Oryzias latipes: one gene and its partner. The protein of the gene in region 2 interacts with the protein of the main gene of each other region in a pairwise test. Links are inferred from orthologs where the notes say so. Each region holds a gene or a part of one and is shown on either strand. Other genes may lie near its edges.

Region 1 (7,877 bases), on a different chromosome or scaffold from region 2:
CGCCCCCACACACACCTGTGTTAGCCGAGGAGGACCTCCCACCTGTCTGAGACGCCCCCACACAGACCTGTGTTAGCCGAGGAGGACCTCCCACCTGTCTGAGACGCCCCCACACACACCTGTGTTAGCCGAGGACAACCTCCCACCTGTCTGACACACCCCCACACACACCTGTGTTAGCCGAGGACAACCTCCCACCTGTCTGAGACGCCCCCACACACACCTGTGTTAGCCGAGGACGACCTCCCACCTGTCTGACACTCCCCCACACACACCTGTTTTAACCGAGGACAACCTCCCACCTGTCTGAGACGCCCCCACACACACCTGTGTTAGCCGAGGAGGACCTCCCACCTGTCTGACACGCCCCCACACACACCTGTGTTAGCCGAGGAGGACCTCCCACCTGTCTGACACGCCCCCACACACACCTGTGTTAGCCGAGGAGGACCTCCCACCTGTCTGAGACGCCCCCACACACACCTGTGTTAGCCGAGGAGGACCTCCCACCTGTCTGACACGCCCCCACACACACACCTGTGTTAGCCGAGGTGGACCTCCCACCTGTCTGACACACCCCCACACACACCTGTGTTAGCCGAGGAGGACCTCCCACCTGTCTGACACGCCCCCACACATACCTGTGTTAGCTGAGGAGTACCTCCCACTTGTCTGAGACGCCCCCACACACACCTGTGTTAGCCGAGGAGGACCTCCCACCTGTCTGACACGCCCCCACACACACCTGTATTAGCCGAGGAGGATCTCCCACCTGTCTGAGACGCCCCCACACACACCTGTGTTAGCCGAGGTGGACCTCCCACCTGTCTGACACACCCCCACACACACCTGTGTTAGCCGAGGTGGACCTCCCACCTGTCTGACACACCCCCACACACACCTGTGTTAGCCGAGGAGGACCTCCCACCTGTCTGAGACGCCCCCACACACACCTGTGTTAGCCGAGGACAACCTCCCACCTGTCTGACACGCCCCCACACACACCTGTGTTAGCTGAGGAGGACCTCCCACCTGTCTGAGACGCCCCCAAACACACCTGTGTTAGCCGAGGAGGACCTCCCACCTGTCTGAGACGCCCCCACACACACCTGTGTTAGCCGAGGTGGACCTCCCACCTGTCTGACACACCCCAACACACACACCTGTGTTAGCCGAGGTGGACCTCCCACCTGTCTGACACACCCCCACACACACCTGTGTTAGCCGAGGAGGACCTCCCACCTGTCTGAGACGCCCCCACACACACCTGTGTTAGCCGAGGAGGACCTCCCACCTGTCTGAGACGCCCCCACACACACCTGTGTTAGCCGAGGAGGACCTCCCACCTGTCTGAGACGCCCCCACACACACCTGTGTTAGCCGAGGACAACCTCCCACCTGTCTGACACACCCCCACACACACCTGTGTTAGCCGAGGACAACCTCCCACCTGTCTGAGACGCCCCCACACACACCTGTGTTAGCCGAGGACGACCTCCCACCTGTCTGACACTCCCCCACACACACCTGTTTTAACCGAGGACAACCTCCCACCTGTCTGAGACGCCCCCACACACACCTGTGTTAGCCGAGGAGGACCTCCCACCTGTCTGACACGCCCCCACACACACCTGTGTTAGCCGAGGAGGACCTCCCACCTGTCTGACACGCCCCCACACACACCTGTGTTAGCCGAGGAGGACCTCCCACCTGTCTGAGACGCCCCCACACACACCTGTGTTAGCCGAGGAGGACCTCCCACCTGTCTGACACGCCCCCACACACACCTGTGTTAGCCGAGGAGGACCTCCCACCTGTCTGACACGCCCCCACACACACACCTGTGTTAGCCGAGGTGGACCTCCCACCTGTCTGACACACCCCCACACACACCTGTGTTAGCCGAGGAGGACCTCCCACCTGTCTGACACGCCCCCACACATACCTGTGTTAGCTGAGGAGTACCTCCCACTTGTCTGAGACGCCCCCACACACACCTGTGTTAGCCGAGGAGGACCTCCCACCTGTCTGACACGCCCCCACACACACCTGTATTAGCCGAGGAGGATCTCCCACCTGTCTGAGACGCCCCCACACACACCTGTGTTAGCCGAGGTGGACCTCCCACCTGTCTGACACACCCCCACACACACCTGTGTTAGCCGAGGTGGACCTCCCACCTGTCTGACACACCCCCACACACACCTGTGTTAGCCGAGGAGGACCTCCCACCTGTCTGAGACGCCCCCACACACACCTGTGTTAGCCGAGGACAACCTCCCACCTGTCTGACACGCCCCCACACACACCTGTGTTAGCTGAGGAGGACCTCCCACCTGTCTGAGACGCCCCCAAACACACCTGTGTTAGCCGAGGAGGACCTCCCACCTGTCTGAGACGCCCCCACACACACCTGTGTTAGCCGAGGTGGACCTCCCACCTGTCTGACACACCCCAACACACACACCTGTGTTAGCCGAGGTGGACCTCCCACCTGTCTGACACACCCCCACACACACCTGTGTTAGCCGAGGAGGACCTCCCACCTGTCTGAGACGCCCCCACACACACCTGTGTTAGCCGAGGAGGACCTCCCACCTGTCTGAGACGCCCCCACACACACTTGTGTTAGCCGAGGAGGACCTCCCACCTGTCTGAGACGCCCCCACACACACCTGTGTTAGCCGAGGACAACCTCCCACCTGTCTGACACACCCCCACACACACCTGTGTTAGCCGAGGAGGACCTCCCACCTGTCTGAGACGCCCCCACACACACCTGTGTTAGCCGAGGACAACCTCCCACCTGTCTGACACGCCCCCACACACAACTGTGTTAGACGAGCCCAACCTCCCACCTGTCTGACACTCCCCCACACACACCTGTTTTAACCGAGGACAACCTCCCACCTGTCTGAGACGCCCCCACACACACCTGTGTTAGCCGAGGAGGACCTCCCACCTGTCTGACACGCCCCCACACACACCTGTGTTAGCCGAGGAGGACCTCCCACCTGTCTGAGACGCCCCCACACACACCTGTGTTAGCCGAGGAGGACCTCCCACCTGTCTGACACGCCCCCACACACACCTGTGTTAGCCGAGGAGGACCTCCCACCTGTCTGACACACCCCCACACACACACCTGTGTTAGCCGAGGTGGACCTCCCACCTGTCTGACACACCCCCACACACACCTGTGTTAGCCGAGGACGGGGGTGCTGACTCTGATGATGGTCATGTCTGTCATGGGGGATGTACCACTGTCGCGGGGTTTCTCTCACCTTTGGGTAATCCAGAGTGAAGAAGGTCTCCAGGTTGGAGATCAGGTTCGGGTCGACCCCCTTCAGAGGCTTCAGCAGAGAAACTCCTGCCAGCTGAGCAAACGGCTGTTTGACCTCTGACCTCTTCTTGTGAAGGTGTAGGCGTCTGAAACAGAGGCCAGGAACCCGGATCAGAACAGGTCACTGTCTATGTGAAAACCCGGTTCTTCGGACAAGGCTCTGCTGCCTCCACCCCCGCGCAGAAAGAGCAGCCGGGACCGGTAGTTCCGCCCGCGTGCGCGCGCAGTCAGACAGACGGAACCAACAGCTTCCCTGAATATCAATGAACAGAAACGTCTCTGGAGCGGAAGGCCGCCGCGGCCGCTGCGTTAGCCGGGAAGCCGCTGCTAGCTTAAGCCGCACTAACGTACGCGCGAACAGTCAGCTTTACGTCAGTTAGCCCCTTCCCGTTGAGCTAACGTGCACCGGTTAGCGGTAACCCACCGACCGGGCACTCAGCCAGAGAGGCGCGGGCATCAGCGGCTCGGCCCCCCGCGGGCGAACAGCTTCAAGCGGCGGCGCGCGCGCACTCACACGTAAATGATGGACATCAGGTGCATGAGCCAGAGCACGAGGAAGAGCACGAGGCCGAACACGGCGAGGCCCTGCATGGCCAGCTCCAGCGGGGCCATGGCGCAGCGGACGGCCGCCACAGCTCGTTCGGGCTCCGTGTGTGGTCGGGCAGGACACCGGGGGGTTCTGTAGAGTCCGTCACGAAAGAGCCAGAAATCCGGCGGGGCCGGTACCGGAAGTAGGTTGGACCTCGAGCTCCGGCAGCGGGAACTCTGGGGGCCACAGACGGCCTGGGGGAGCGCGGTTTAGCGGCGATGAGGTCGGGCGTTTGACAGTCAGCAGACCGGCCCACGATCAGCTGACCAACCGGGAAAGACGGTGATCAAACAGGAAGTCATCACTGGCTGGCACTTCCGGACTCTTTCAAAATAAAAGCCCCTCCCAACAGCCTAAGATAAATGAAACCAGGCGGCCTTAGTGCCTCTAAACGTTAGTACAAAGGTGTTTAGGATGAGCTTTAGTGCAAAGAACCCCAGGAATCTAACTGCTTCCTTCACTGCTACATGTTTTCTTCGTGCTTTTATTGAGTAACTGTAAGTCTACATGGATTCAGCCTCCTTGTCTTCATTCTGCTCCTTCAGAACCCAGATAATCCTGATGTGCTTCCACCTCAAACTGCTCATCTGCTCTGAAAGTTCTTCTCTGTGACTTCCTCCATTAAGCTGAAAATCCCCAAATTTTCAAACATGATTAAATTGAATAAAGTTTGGCCTCGAAAAACAAATCAAAAACAAAGCTGAAAATACCCTTTATTTACTGTGGATCCAGTTCTGATCATTTGGATGAGCCGATTGTCGCTCAGAACAGGGAAGTTCCCGCTGCTGAAGGTGCAGCTGTGTTGAGTCACGTGACAACGGTGGAAACTGGTTGCTTTGCTCAGGTGCGTCAGACTTCGTGGTAAACAGCCACACCTGTCAGTGTGTGTCATAACACCTGCTGGGGTTGAGCAACCGAAACTGAACTGGATCAGGAACCAGAGACCGCGGTCGTCATGGACAATCTGAGTTCCTTCAGGAAGCAGGACGTCCTGCAGACTGAGAACACGGTGACGCTTCAACAATTACAACAGATTATTTCAGGAAGAAAAACAAATGATTAAATGAAGTCAGTTGCTCTGCGGGTAGCAGCTAACTGGCGCCCCCTTCAGTTGGATCACAAGCTTCAGTTTTCTTTGTCACATCCATCCGTCAGCAGCTGGGCGGTGCTGGACCACGGACACTCCAGGTTCTCCTTCCAGCTCTCCTCCTGGGTGTTGTAGACCTCCTGTGGAGCACAGGTAGGGGGTGAGGGCTCGGCCGTCCCACCGGCTCGGCCGTCCCACCGCCGCCGGCTCCTACCTTCTTCCATATGGGCATCCGGGCCTTCAGCTGGCTGATGCAGTGCTGGATGGCCTGCTGGCCGTCGTGGCGGTGCGGAGATGAAACTGCCATGGCGACGCTGGCCTCGCCCACCTTCACCCACCTAAAGAGGAACCTGTCAGGTAAGTCTGGCGTTTGCCGGTCAGAGGAGTGGCGGAGCGCTCACCCCAGCCGGTGGTGGACGCAGATGTGCTTCACGCTGGGCCAGCACCCCCGCAGCTCAGCACAGAGCTTGGTGAACTCTGATTGGACCATGGACTCGTACGCCTCGTAGTGCAGTCCCACCACCCTCCTGCCCTCCACCTCGTCCTCCCGGGTCGTTCCTGCACAGATGATGTGAAACTCCTGAGTTCTGAGGAACCGAACCGGACCCACCAACACGCTGTAACGGCCCGCACCGCTGTTCCTCACTTTAGCACTCAAAATAGAAGTGGAACACAAACACTCCCGTCCCCCCCGTCCAGGGAGTCGCTACCCAACACGGCTAAAAGTCCCGTCCATCCGTACCGACGAAGACGGAAACGGCTCCACAGGAGGAGCTGCTCACAGCATCCACCACCTCCTGCACGGACAGAGGATCCCGGCTCAGCCTGACCGCGTCCTCCTGCTGGGACATTCCTGCAACCGACCCGGTAGAACGTCTGAGAACCCGTCTCCTCTGCTGGGATGGAGAGCAGCGACTGACTGAAGCACATACCTGCCTACCCGCCGCTGAGCGGAGGAACCACGGCCACCTCGTCTCCGTCCCTCAGAACCACCAGCTGCTCCGCAATGGGAATGTACTGTTGAGCCACCGCCAAGACCACGTGACCACGCAGCACTGCTAGCCTACACACACGCACACACACACACACACACACACACACACGCACACACATGCAGCGGTCAGAATCCGATCAGCCGCCGTCAGGTTCTGCTGCTTCCTGGGTTTCGTACCGGGGATGTCTCTGCTGCAGCAGCTCCCACAGTTCCCTGCTGCTGATGGGCGTTGGAACAGAAACAAGCTCCTCCCCCTTCAGCCCAGTCAGCTCGGCACTCTGACCAAAGTAGATGACGCTCACCTGCACACAAACACCTGTATGAGCTCAGTGCCACACGTGAGGCTGCGTGGACTGCAGCGTGGAACGTGACGGGAAAACATTCGGGTCTAGAAACACGCGTGGTGATGTTTTACGGGAACGCTTCCTGCTTTTCATCCGCCTCATCCTCACTGATGTCATCATCTGTTTGCCTATTGGCTGTGTTCATCTTGCTGCTGGCATGCACCTTTTTCACACCCCGTCCTTCTGCTCACCTGGAAGGAGGGGCCAATGTTCCTGATTGGTACCTGCTGGCCGAGGAGCAGGAGGGTCAGAGTTGGAGCGGTGCTGGGTGGCTCGTCTCTCTTGGTCCTCAGCCTCCTGCTGGTTCTGGATTTTAGTTTGGGTTTGGACCTTGGTCGTCTTTTTGCGGGTTTTCTTTCCAATAGTGACCTTGTCAGGATCCTGACTTCTGCCTGTGTTTCCTTTCTGAACTCGCTTTACAGTAAACCCTTGTTTTTCGCGGGGGTTACGTTCCAAAAAGAACCCGTGAAAGGCAAAATCCGTGAAGTAGAAACCTTTATTTTTTTAACAATTATTATACTATTAAACAGTCTATTATACATTGAAAAGAAAGAACAAACCGTTTTACAGGCTCAGGCATTTGTTTCACAAATAAAAGTACTTTAGAAAAGGTTTTTCAACAAATATCTTCTGTACTGTACTGTCAAATAATAACTAATCAGGCTTCAAATCGCGGAGATTAGCCCCGCCCACCGCGACCCGAGAGTAATTGGATTAAACGGGAGAAAATTTAAAATGATTTAAAAAAAAATACAAAGTAAGGTCAGACAAATAGTGACTCAGGTGTATTTCACTGCTCTAGAGCCGCTGATCCTGACTCCGCTCTGCAGTGTTTTCTCCCTTTGAAGCCCGCGGCGCAGCTGTGTTTGTTCGGGAGAAGAACACAGTGATTGACAGTTGGTGTCGCTCTTTTTTCCATGGGGGATAGAGAAACTCGAAATTGCAAGAGAATTTGCACGTATCTGTTGTAATTTGGGAAGCTGTTTTACCTACGTGTACATGTTAAACTGCAACTTTATTGACGCACAGGTAGAGAAGAAGTGGAGTGACTTTTTAGCCAATCAGAATGCAGAAGACAATGCACAATGCAAATCCGTGAAGTAGCGAAACCGTGAAAAGTAAACCGCGTTATAGCGAGGGATCACTGTACACCAAACAGGTGTGAAGCACAGCATAAAGGTTACAGGCGGGCAACTGTGTGTGTGTGTGGGGGGGGGGGTCTACATCCTAGTCGATTCTGGTCCGATTTGTCCCCCCCCCCCCCCCCCCCCAATAGGGCCACAGTCCAGTTCTCAGATACAGTCTATGCTGACCACGTGACGCCCCACAGGCCAGACCATGTGATCCACTGGAGTTCACAAAAGACTCACAACCATAGACACAAAGCAGACTAGCACAAAACACGTGCAGAAACCACACATGCGCAGACACAAAGGCTGCGCAGTGTGTGGCACATGTGTGACACAAAGCCTGACGTCAGCATGCAAGGGGTCAAACCCTCCACTCACCTGCGCAGTCAT
Region 2 (7,869 bases):
ACCCTGCAGAAGAAAACAGAAACAGAGTAGAAAACGGCTTTGCATGTTTCAGAAAAAAATTCAAACAAAATATGTTATTGCATCATCAATCTAACAAAAACATATAATTCTATGAGACTGACATGAAAAAATGTAATGCCAGTTTCATACCTGGATTTTAGTGATGCAGTTATTGTTGAGCCACAGAACTTCCAGGTTAACCTGCAAATCTAAGTTTTGTATTTCACATATCTGATTATTATAAAGGTACAGCTTCTCTAGTTTTTGACAGTTTTGTAGTCCAGATATTTCCTGTTGATAAGACAATGAGAAAACAATTATATGTTAAAAACAAAAAGGTTAAACTCTTCGTCTCTGGGTTTGAAACGTTATTATTTGTTTTAATCCTTATTGCTGCAGTGTTTAATCTCACATACATACTTGAACATAAACTATATTATAATCTCATAAATTAAAAGTTGTTATGTCTGACATTTTTACACAAACATATACAGTACAGACCAAAAGTTTGGACACACCTTCTCAAGGTGCAAAACCAAACTTTTGGTCTGTACTGTATGAAAACTCACTCTAAGACGACACTGGACTATCCAGATCTGCTGTAGCAGAGGGCAGTTCTCCAGTCCTTCAATGTGTTCTATGGTCTGGTCCACGATGGTAAGGTGGCAAAGTCTTGGAAAGAAGAAGAGCCCGACCATTCGGGGGAAACCAGAGAAAAAGATCTCCAGAGACGTGACGTTACTCCCCTCCTGTGCTATTTTTTCATAGGAAACGCCATTGACCAGACACTGTTGTGAGCAAAAAGATGAACAATGATTCATGATCTTGATATTTATGCATCATAAATAAATAAATAAATTTAAAAAGGGGGGTTGAAATACAGTCAAATAAAAGCAAACCTAAAACCTTTTTGCTTCCACATTCAGTTTTTTGGGAGTCTTTTTTTTTTCTCCGTTTTTCTGACAATGTGTATTTAGACTGCAGCATTTATTCATATATATTAAAGAAATTCATAAAAATGCAAAAGCAGAAATGATATATTTTAAACATGTTCATAATGAATTTTCTAAAAAAAAACGTAATTTATTTTTGAATAAAAAAAACACTATTCACTCATTTCCTATTTCATGTAACAATCACAGAAGCCAGCAGTAATATTCTATATAGGCAGAAAATTAGGGGCAATTCATATTGATATAATAGTCTAGCAATGAGCATTTTTGCACTTGCATGGAGAGTAAATATTTAAAGTTATCTATTTGTTACAATGAATTTACAAAGAACATTACAAGATAATGATATAAAATAGATTTAAATGCATTAAAAGATCGTAAAGTAAACACAAATTAAAGTAAAGCAAAGTAAACACAATAAAAAAACACATATTTAATTAACCCTACAAACCCATAGGCAATTTTCTTTCTTTTTTTTACAATGTCTTAAATTTTTTTTTGTTTTCATCAAATATTTTTTCATCTTTACATTTTATTTTTTGGCCGCTGTTAATCGCTGCTACCCAAAATGAGTAAACAAAAAGTCAAATTAACTTTAAAACTACAAGTAATAATTTTTGGTAGTTCTCCATGGTTAATTGGCTACAAACAAACAAACAAACAAACAAACAAACAAATAAATAAATGCTGAGAGAGAGAGAGCCTCCAGAATAATTCCAGAGGGAGAGTGGAATTTCCTTTACATTTACTGTACATTGTTTTCTTTTTACTTGCAATTTATGTTGCAAACATTTCTTGACTACAAAATCAAAAACTTCTGCATGGTATCACATGTTTTTCTTAGTGTTAACTTACTAGTTTTTTGACCACCTCTTCATCCCTGCAGTTCGTCTTTTTGTCACTTTTCAACATAGCTGTGCAAAAAAATAAACAAAAACAACAAATTAAGCATTACTGGTCGGTTCTGCTGAAAACAATACAAAACTAACACGTGCCCGTCAATTTAAATGTTAAAAACCAATTTTGAGTAAACGTTTATATTTGCCCCTCCCCCCAAACATGCACACCAAACAAACAGAAACCGACCAAGTTTAAGGACTGAGCATCAGTTCTACAGACTCTCTGCACTGCACATATTATATATTAAAACGTAAAATGCATTTTTGTTATCGTTTATTAATGTATGATTGAAACACAATTGGTTACCAATATCGATGGGAAGAACGCGTATCCAGGCACGAGTGTTTGGTTGCCATGGAGGAACTCCGAAACTTTTCAAGCTTTGTTTGTACGCTGAGCTACCACACGAGGGCGCCATACTGCAAGATTTGTCTGGACTGTTTTCATGGAGACACAAGACATTTGGATCTCCAGAATATTCTTTAGTACAAAAGGCAGAAAATAAATAAAGTTTTTCATTTTTTTAAGTGCTATTCAGACTGAAAAAATAGTAATATTATATGTGATTTATTCCCTAAATTCTGCTTCTGTAATTGCCTTAAACATATTTTGTTAAACATAGTTTGATATTATATAAATTGATCGTTTTATTTGGTTTTCCTTATTTTAATGAAAACTAGGGTGTGTATTTGTCCTAAAGTTGCGTTGCTGTCTAGCGGACAGGATGACGTCAGCGGTGGCTCGGTGAACTACAACATCAACCTCTCTCCTCTGGTGCTGGTTCCAAACCGCCCGCTCCGCCTCATCCCTGCCGTCCTCACAGCCCCGGCACAGCTGAGCAGAAGCCAGGCGGGAGCGTCCCCGTGTTTTCCCGGATCACCCGTTCGAGCTCGAGCGTCGCCGCCGGCTCTGCAGTACGGTCAGACGGGGGGAGGAGGAGAGGAAGCCTCAGCAGCCGCTGACTGTTCCCAGTCTGTCCGACAACAGCAACAAAGCATGTCCGCTCAGCCCGGCGAGGAGCTCCGCGAGGAGGAGAGGTGGTTCGGGGATGATTACGAGAGGAACGGCTTGTTTGGGAACACATCCACCCGCTTCGACGAGCTGCGTCACGATTTGAAGCCGAGAGGTGGTGACGCTGTGGGCGACCTGGATCAACAATTTCATCCTTTCCAGGACGACGGGAAAAGGCCTCCCGTTGCTATGGAAACTGCCTCTACAGGTAAAACTTTAACGTAAATGAGACAAATCTTACTTTTCTGCCAAACCTAATAATACTCATGGGCAAAAGCAAACACAAGGAGTGATTTTATGTCTTAAAATGGGGGCGACTGATGCTGAGGCGCAGTTTATTATAGATTACGACAGACGGCCTGCTTGTCTGCTGTTATGAGGAGTTAAAACTTCTGGAATTGAAAACAAAGATGCTATTTTTTTTTGCAACTTTCAGGTTCTGATTTGATCTACATGTGTGTTCACATGCTGATAAATCTGAAAGGACTATATGTGATTTATGATGTTAAGGCCAGTTTTCTGTTATAAATACAATAAAAGAAGCACCTGTCTGGGTAGGTCTCAATTAGTTGATGATTGTTGGATAATAGTCAAAATGTTGTTGGCCAATGAGATCTAACTCACCAATTTGACCAAAAATGCTACTTAAAATAAGGTCAGAAGGACTAAATAAAAACAGCCTTAATTCAAAAGGTCTAAGAAACTCTAATGGCTTCAAATTTGTGCTTAAAGTCCTTCCCCTTTGAAGAACAGCTTGGCTCATGCTGCTATTTTTACTCCTAAGGTCGCTTGCCTCACTATTCGTGTGTTGGGCAGAAGTGAGCCACTTTTATTCACAAGTTCACTGAAAAATTCATAAGGTTATGCTTAAAAAAAAATCATGCGGCCAAGTTTCCTCTCTTAACTGCTCAAGCGCTCTCTCATTTGGCATGCTGCTTGAATCAAATCAATAAAAAAAACACGCTTTTTATGCAGATTCTTTTTCAGGAAGTGGACTATTCCTATCAGGGAATGAAACCTCAACAGTCAGGTGTAAACAGATTAGTTAATAAAAGCTTTTGTTAAGATTAAATTATAGGATAGGAATATCCTTTAATATTTAACCTTTGTCTTTTCCACTTTTCTTGCTTGAAAATGTAAACAAAGCATTTGCTCCACTTTCATAACAGTCTGCCAGACAAGGTGTGTAGGTGCTCACAGACGGGGGACACACTCTTTGTTTTGGCTCCTGAAAGAGAACAGTGTTGCTGCAATACTGTTGCTAAGCCGTGTCCGCACAGTTGAATTAATCTCTCCTGTCACGTTTGTTCCCGCTGGAAACGCCGCAAATCCCATCTATGAGGACAGAGGGGACGTTTCTCACTTAATCAGAAATAATGTGATGCTGTTTGCTTTGATTTTCCTCAGAAAGACACAGATTGGCTCCAACACTGCACTGAAGTTCCAAAATCCTGCGTAAAGCTAATGAAATGCTGAGCTGTGTCCCTTTGAGATGTTTGGAGTTTACTGTTGTTTACAACGGTGATAAACAAACTCAGGACCTACAGGATGCTGACTCCAGAGGTATTAAATTACCACTGGACAGAACTTTATCCTGTTTCTTAGGCTGAACAACCTTTTTAATATTCACGATTTACCCTCACGTGTATGTTTACCGGAGCCATGATGAAGACAGTAGATCATGGTGTACCGGGATCAGGTCTGCTCGGCCTTGAAAGCATCAACTGTTTTGTATGTAAATTGCATGTAATTTTGCTGCTCATAGAGGAGAGGATTTCACACAGAAACATCTTCCTTTTAGTTTCTATTTTACATCTGGAGAAGCCATCTCTTACAATCCAGTAGCTAAAAGGTGGATTAAGCTCAAGTCTTTCGCTTTATCAGCTTGTCATCAGTGACGAGGGAGAGACAGCACGCTGGATTTGATCCCAGTGCAGTGCATTTCTGCCTTTAGCTGGTGAGGAGTTTTGCCTCTGTTCCCGGAGGGACAGAGGAGTGCAGGGTCTTTTCATAGATGATAAAAATGCTGGATAATTCAGGGGCAGAAGAGGAGGAGAGAGCAGCCTAATGGCTAAAGAGGCGAAGCTGCTGCCAGATGATGGTTCAAAGGTCCAGACTGTCAGGAAAACCTAAAAAAACATCAAACTTCAGTATTTATTTAAAGTTGTTGAGTGGAGGTGCTTTTATATCCATAGATGCATTTATTTCTGACCCCAGTAGAACAAGGACATAGTTAAACTGATTCTAGACAGGAGTATGAGAGGTTCTCCCTCCTGTTTATGTCTATGGCTTTGGGACAGACTGGAAGCCTGTCCAAGGATAAAGCCTACACCCTGTGACAGATGGGATGGGCTCCAGACCCCGCAACACCCATCAAAACTGGATGAAGCAGCTACGGAGAAGCGATAGAATCCCATGTGTTTACCCAGGAAGCAATAAAAAACCATTATGTGAAACATGATGCAGTGTTTGGAACTGCCCCTCTGCTCTGACTTATCATATTCCCCATGAAGAGCAGAGCTAAAACCCATCACTACTTTTAAGTGTGGACTTTTTGTACATTTTTCTCTGCAATCAGTCATTTTTTAAAGTCTCACATCTAAATAATGGTAATTACTATTTAAAAAACAAAGATTGACTGACATATTTAAAATTCTCCTCTGTTTATGTTAAAAAAAACCACAAAGGCAAGAAAAATATATTCAATACAGGAGAGAATTAGCAGAATATGTTCGGTAGCGTATTTTTCCCAATTTAATTCCCCCAGTTAAGAGGGCTGGATGCAATAGTGTGTCATGGAATAGTAATTGTACGTTCCAGTTGTCTTGGATCAATGCAGCAGAGCACCTGGATCTCTCAGCAATTCTATCGACCTGCACTTGTCTTTTTCTACTTCAGTGAAAGCAGCCTTGCCCACTATCTCCCCCATTTCCCTGTTTTCCTTTAAGTTCAACACAGGAATCTATGGATTAACAGAATCAATGTCATAAACAAGTTTTTAAATGTTGTGACATACGACAGATATTAATTAAGCTGAGCTGAAATGATAGAGAAAATACTGATCAATGTAAAAAAAAATCAATAGTTTTAGAGAGTCACACGAGTACCTAAAAATAAACTCTTTACAAATTATATAAAATGTATTTAAAGTGATAGTTTTCTATATAATTTTATTTTTCAACTAAAGAAACAGATCCTTGAGGTCAGATGCTGCAAAAAGAGACCCAAACTATTTAACAATGTCATGTTAAATTAGGACTTCTAACATTGGGGGAAAAACATATTATTTACCACCACAAACCCACTTAGCTTTAAAAGGGGAGCGCAGTGAGCATCTTGATATATTGGTTTCCACGAGGTCAGGCTTTGAAAGATAACACCTGAAAGATAAAACCGCAGCTGATAGGAACCTAGATGGAGTAATGGAGTTGTTTCCGAGCTGTTGAGTCACAGACTCTTCAAGGAAATGCTGGACTATGACTGATTGTTATTAGCCGTAAACAGTCTTCAGACTTCAAACTGAGCTCATTAGAAGGGAAAATACATGTTTTTAGAGAACTGTGTCACTGAAAAAGACTTAAAGATCAACTCAGATGAAAATTAATGGTGTTTTTAACATGTTCTTCTGGCATTTCTCACATGATGGAGGACCTATTTGTAAAAAATTAGGCTTCAAGAAAATGCTATTTGAAAAATTGCTTATTTGTTTCCTAGAAAATACACTAGGTAGGCCGTAAACTTCCTGCTCCACTCCATTCTGATGCATCCACTTGCAGACAAATAGATCCATCTACGTCTTTGTATTCCTTGTCTGAGCTGACATCTAGCTCAAAACAGTACGACTGGATATCTCTAAGATGGCTCATCATTTTTTATTGCACCAGTTTTGTTAGGTTGGGGTGGGAGAACATATAAACAGAAAGCTCTCACAACTCAGAATTTCTAATGATCTACTACTGCTCTGCAGAAACTATGTCTTAGAAAACAACACAAGTTTTTTTTTTAATTTAGGCTAAAAAAAACGACATTATCATAATTAAAAGACCACTTGGAATGCTTTTAATCAAAAGATGATCAGAGTGGGACTTTAAAAAATATGTAGTTTTTCTTCTCTTTATTAATCACTAACAAACAGCAGGTCATTTATGTTTTTCTTTTGTGACTAGAGGCCCTCCTTTATATTTTCTGCTCTTTTGTTTTCCTCAGTCGCCTGATAATTAGGAGCCCATGCCTCGGCCCAGTGCAAAGTGTCAGCCGGCATTAGTTTCAGAGCTGCTCTGGCTGCACAGAGGACAACAAAAGGACTCTACAGCACATGCACCAGGACTTATTTATCTAACTGCCCCATCCTTTCAGCAGGATGAACACACTGTGTGGATAGTGAAGCCTAGAATTCCTCTGTTGTCATGCCCAATCCCATCTGACTACAGTGGAGCATTGGTTTCAGCTTTGTGGGCTTTTGTAGCGTCTGGGCGCTATGTCACGTCAGCAGATTCAAAATGCCCTCAATCGCCGACCATTTCGTCAAAACGCAGCAGAGAGCTTGCTGTCACCGAGAAAAACTTAGGTTCTTTTTTGTTGCAGAGCCTTTGATGCCTTGAGCTTTTGTCAGGTTCAGCAGCAGTTTACCTTTAGTTTAGATGTGGGGCTAATCTGTTTTAACCTACATAACACACAGAATATGTAAAAAAAACAAAAAACATAAAAGGTCCTGACAATTCCTGCTTTTTTTAAATGTTACATCACCACTCAACCTATATCCTTGAGATGTTTGTACCCCCGCCCTGCAGTATGTGATGAATGATGCATTGTGTAGTGACTGAGGAAGCAGCAACTGAAAGGACAACAGGCGGGAAGGGTGGTGGGTCTCATTTGAGGAAGCGAAATCCGGGGAGGGACGTCCTGACCTGTAGAACCTTCTGTCAGTCAGTTTACATCCTCCAGAGCTTAACCCCTCCATCCCCATCAGCCAGCCCAGCAACTGGGTTTGGGCTATTTATAACAC

The links.
Region 1: the proteins of rtn1 (region 2) and ugcg interact in a two-hybrid assay, tested with the Homo sapiens proteins (2 studies listed by BioGRID and IntAct). The link is inferred for Oryzias latipes from reciprocal best matches to the Homo sapiens genes RTN1 and UGCG.

What each region holds. Positions count from the first base shown.
Region 1 is NC_019870.2:273,920-281,796, forward strand, and holds the start of ugcg (ceramide glucosyltransferase), read right to left. Parts: upstream 4,464-7,877; 5' UTR 3,956-4,463; coding exon 3,858-3,955; intron 3,430-3,857; coding exon 3,285-3,429; intron 1-3,284. Other genes in the region: mocs2 (molybdopterin synthase catalytic subunit), read right to left, coding at 5,058-5,159, 5,234-5,357, 5,421-5,577, 5,762-5,870. UniProt on the Homo sapiens protein: Participates in the initial step of the glucosylceramide-based glycosphingolipid/GSL synthetic pathway at the cytosolic surface of the Golgi.
Region 2 is NC_019880.2:12,165,358-12,173,226, forward strand, and holds the start of rtn1 (reticulon-1), read left to right. Parts: upstream 1-2,507; 5' UTR 2,508-2,522; coding exon 2,523-3,072; intron 3,073-7,869. Other genes in the region: leucine-rich repeat-containing protein 9, read right to left, coding at 1-3, 151-291, 570-788, 1,809-1,867, 2,160-2,271. UniProt on the Homo sapiens protein: Inhibits amyloid precursor protein processing, probably by blocking BACE1 activity.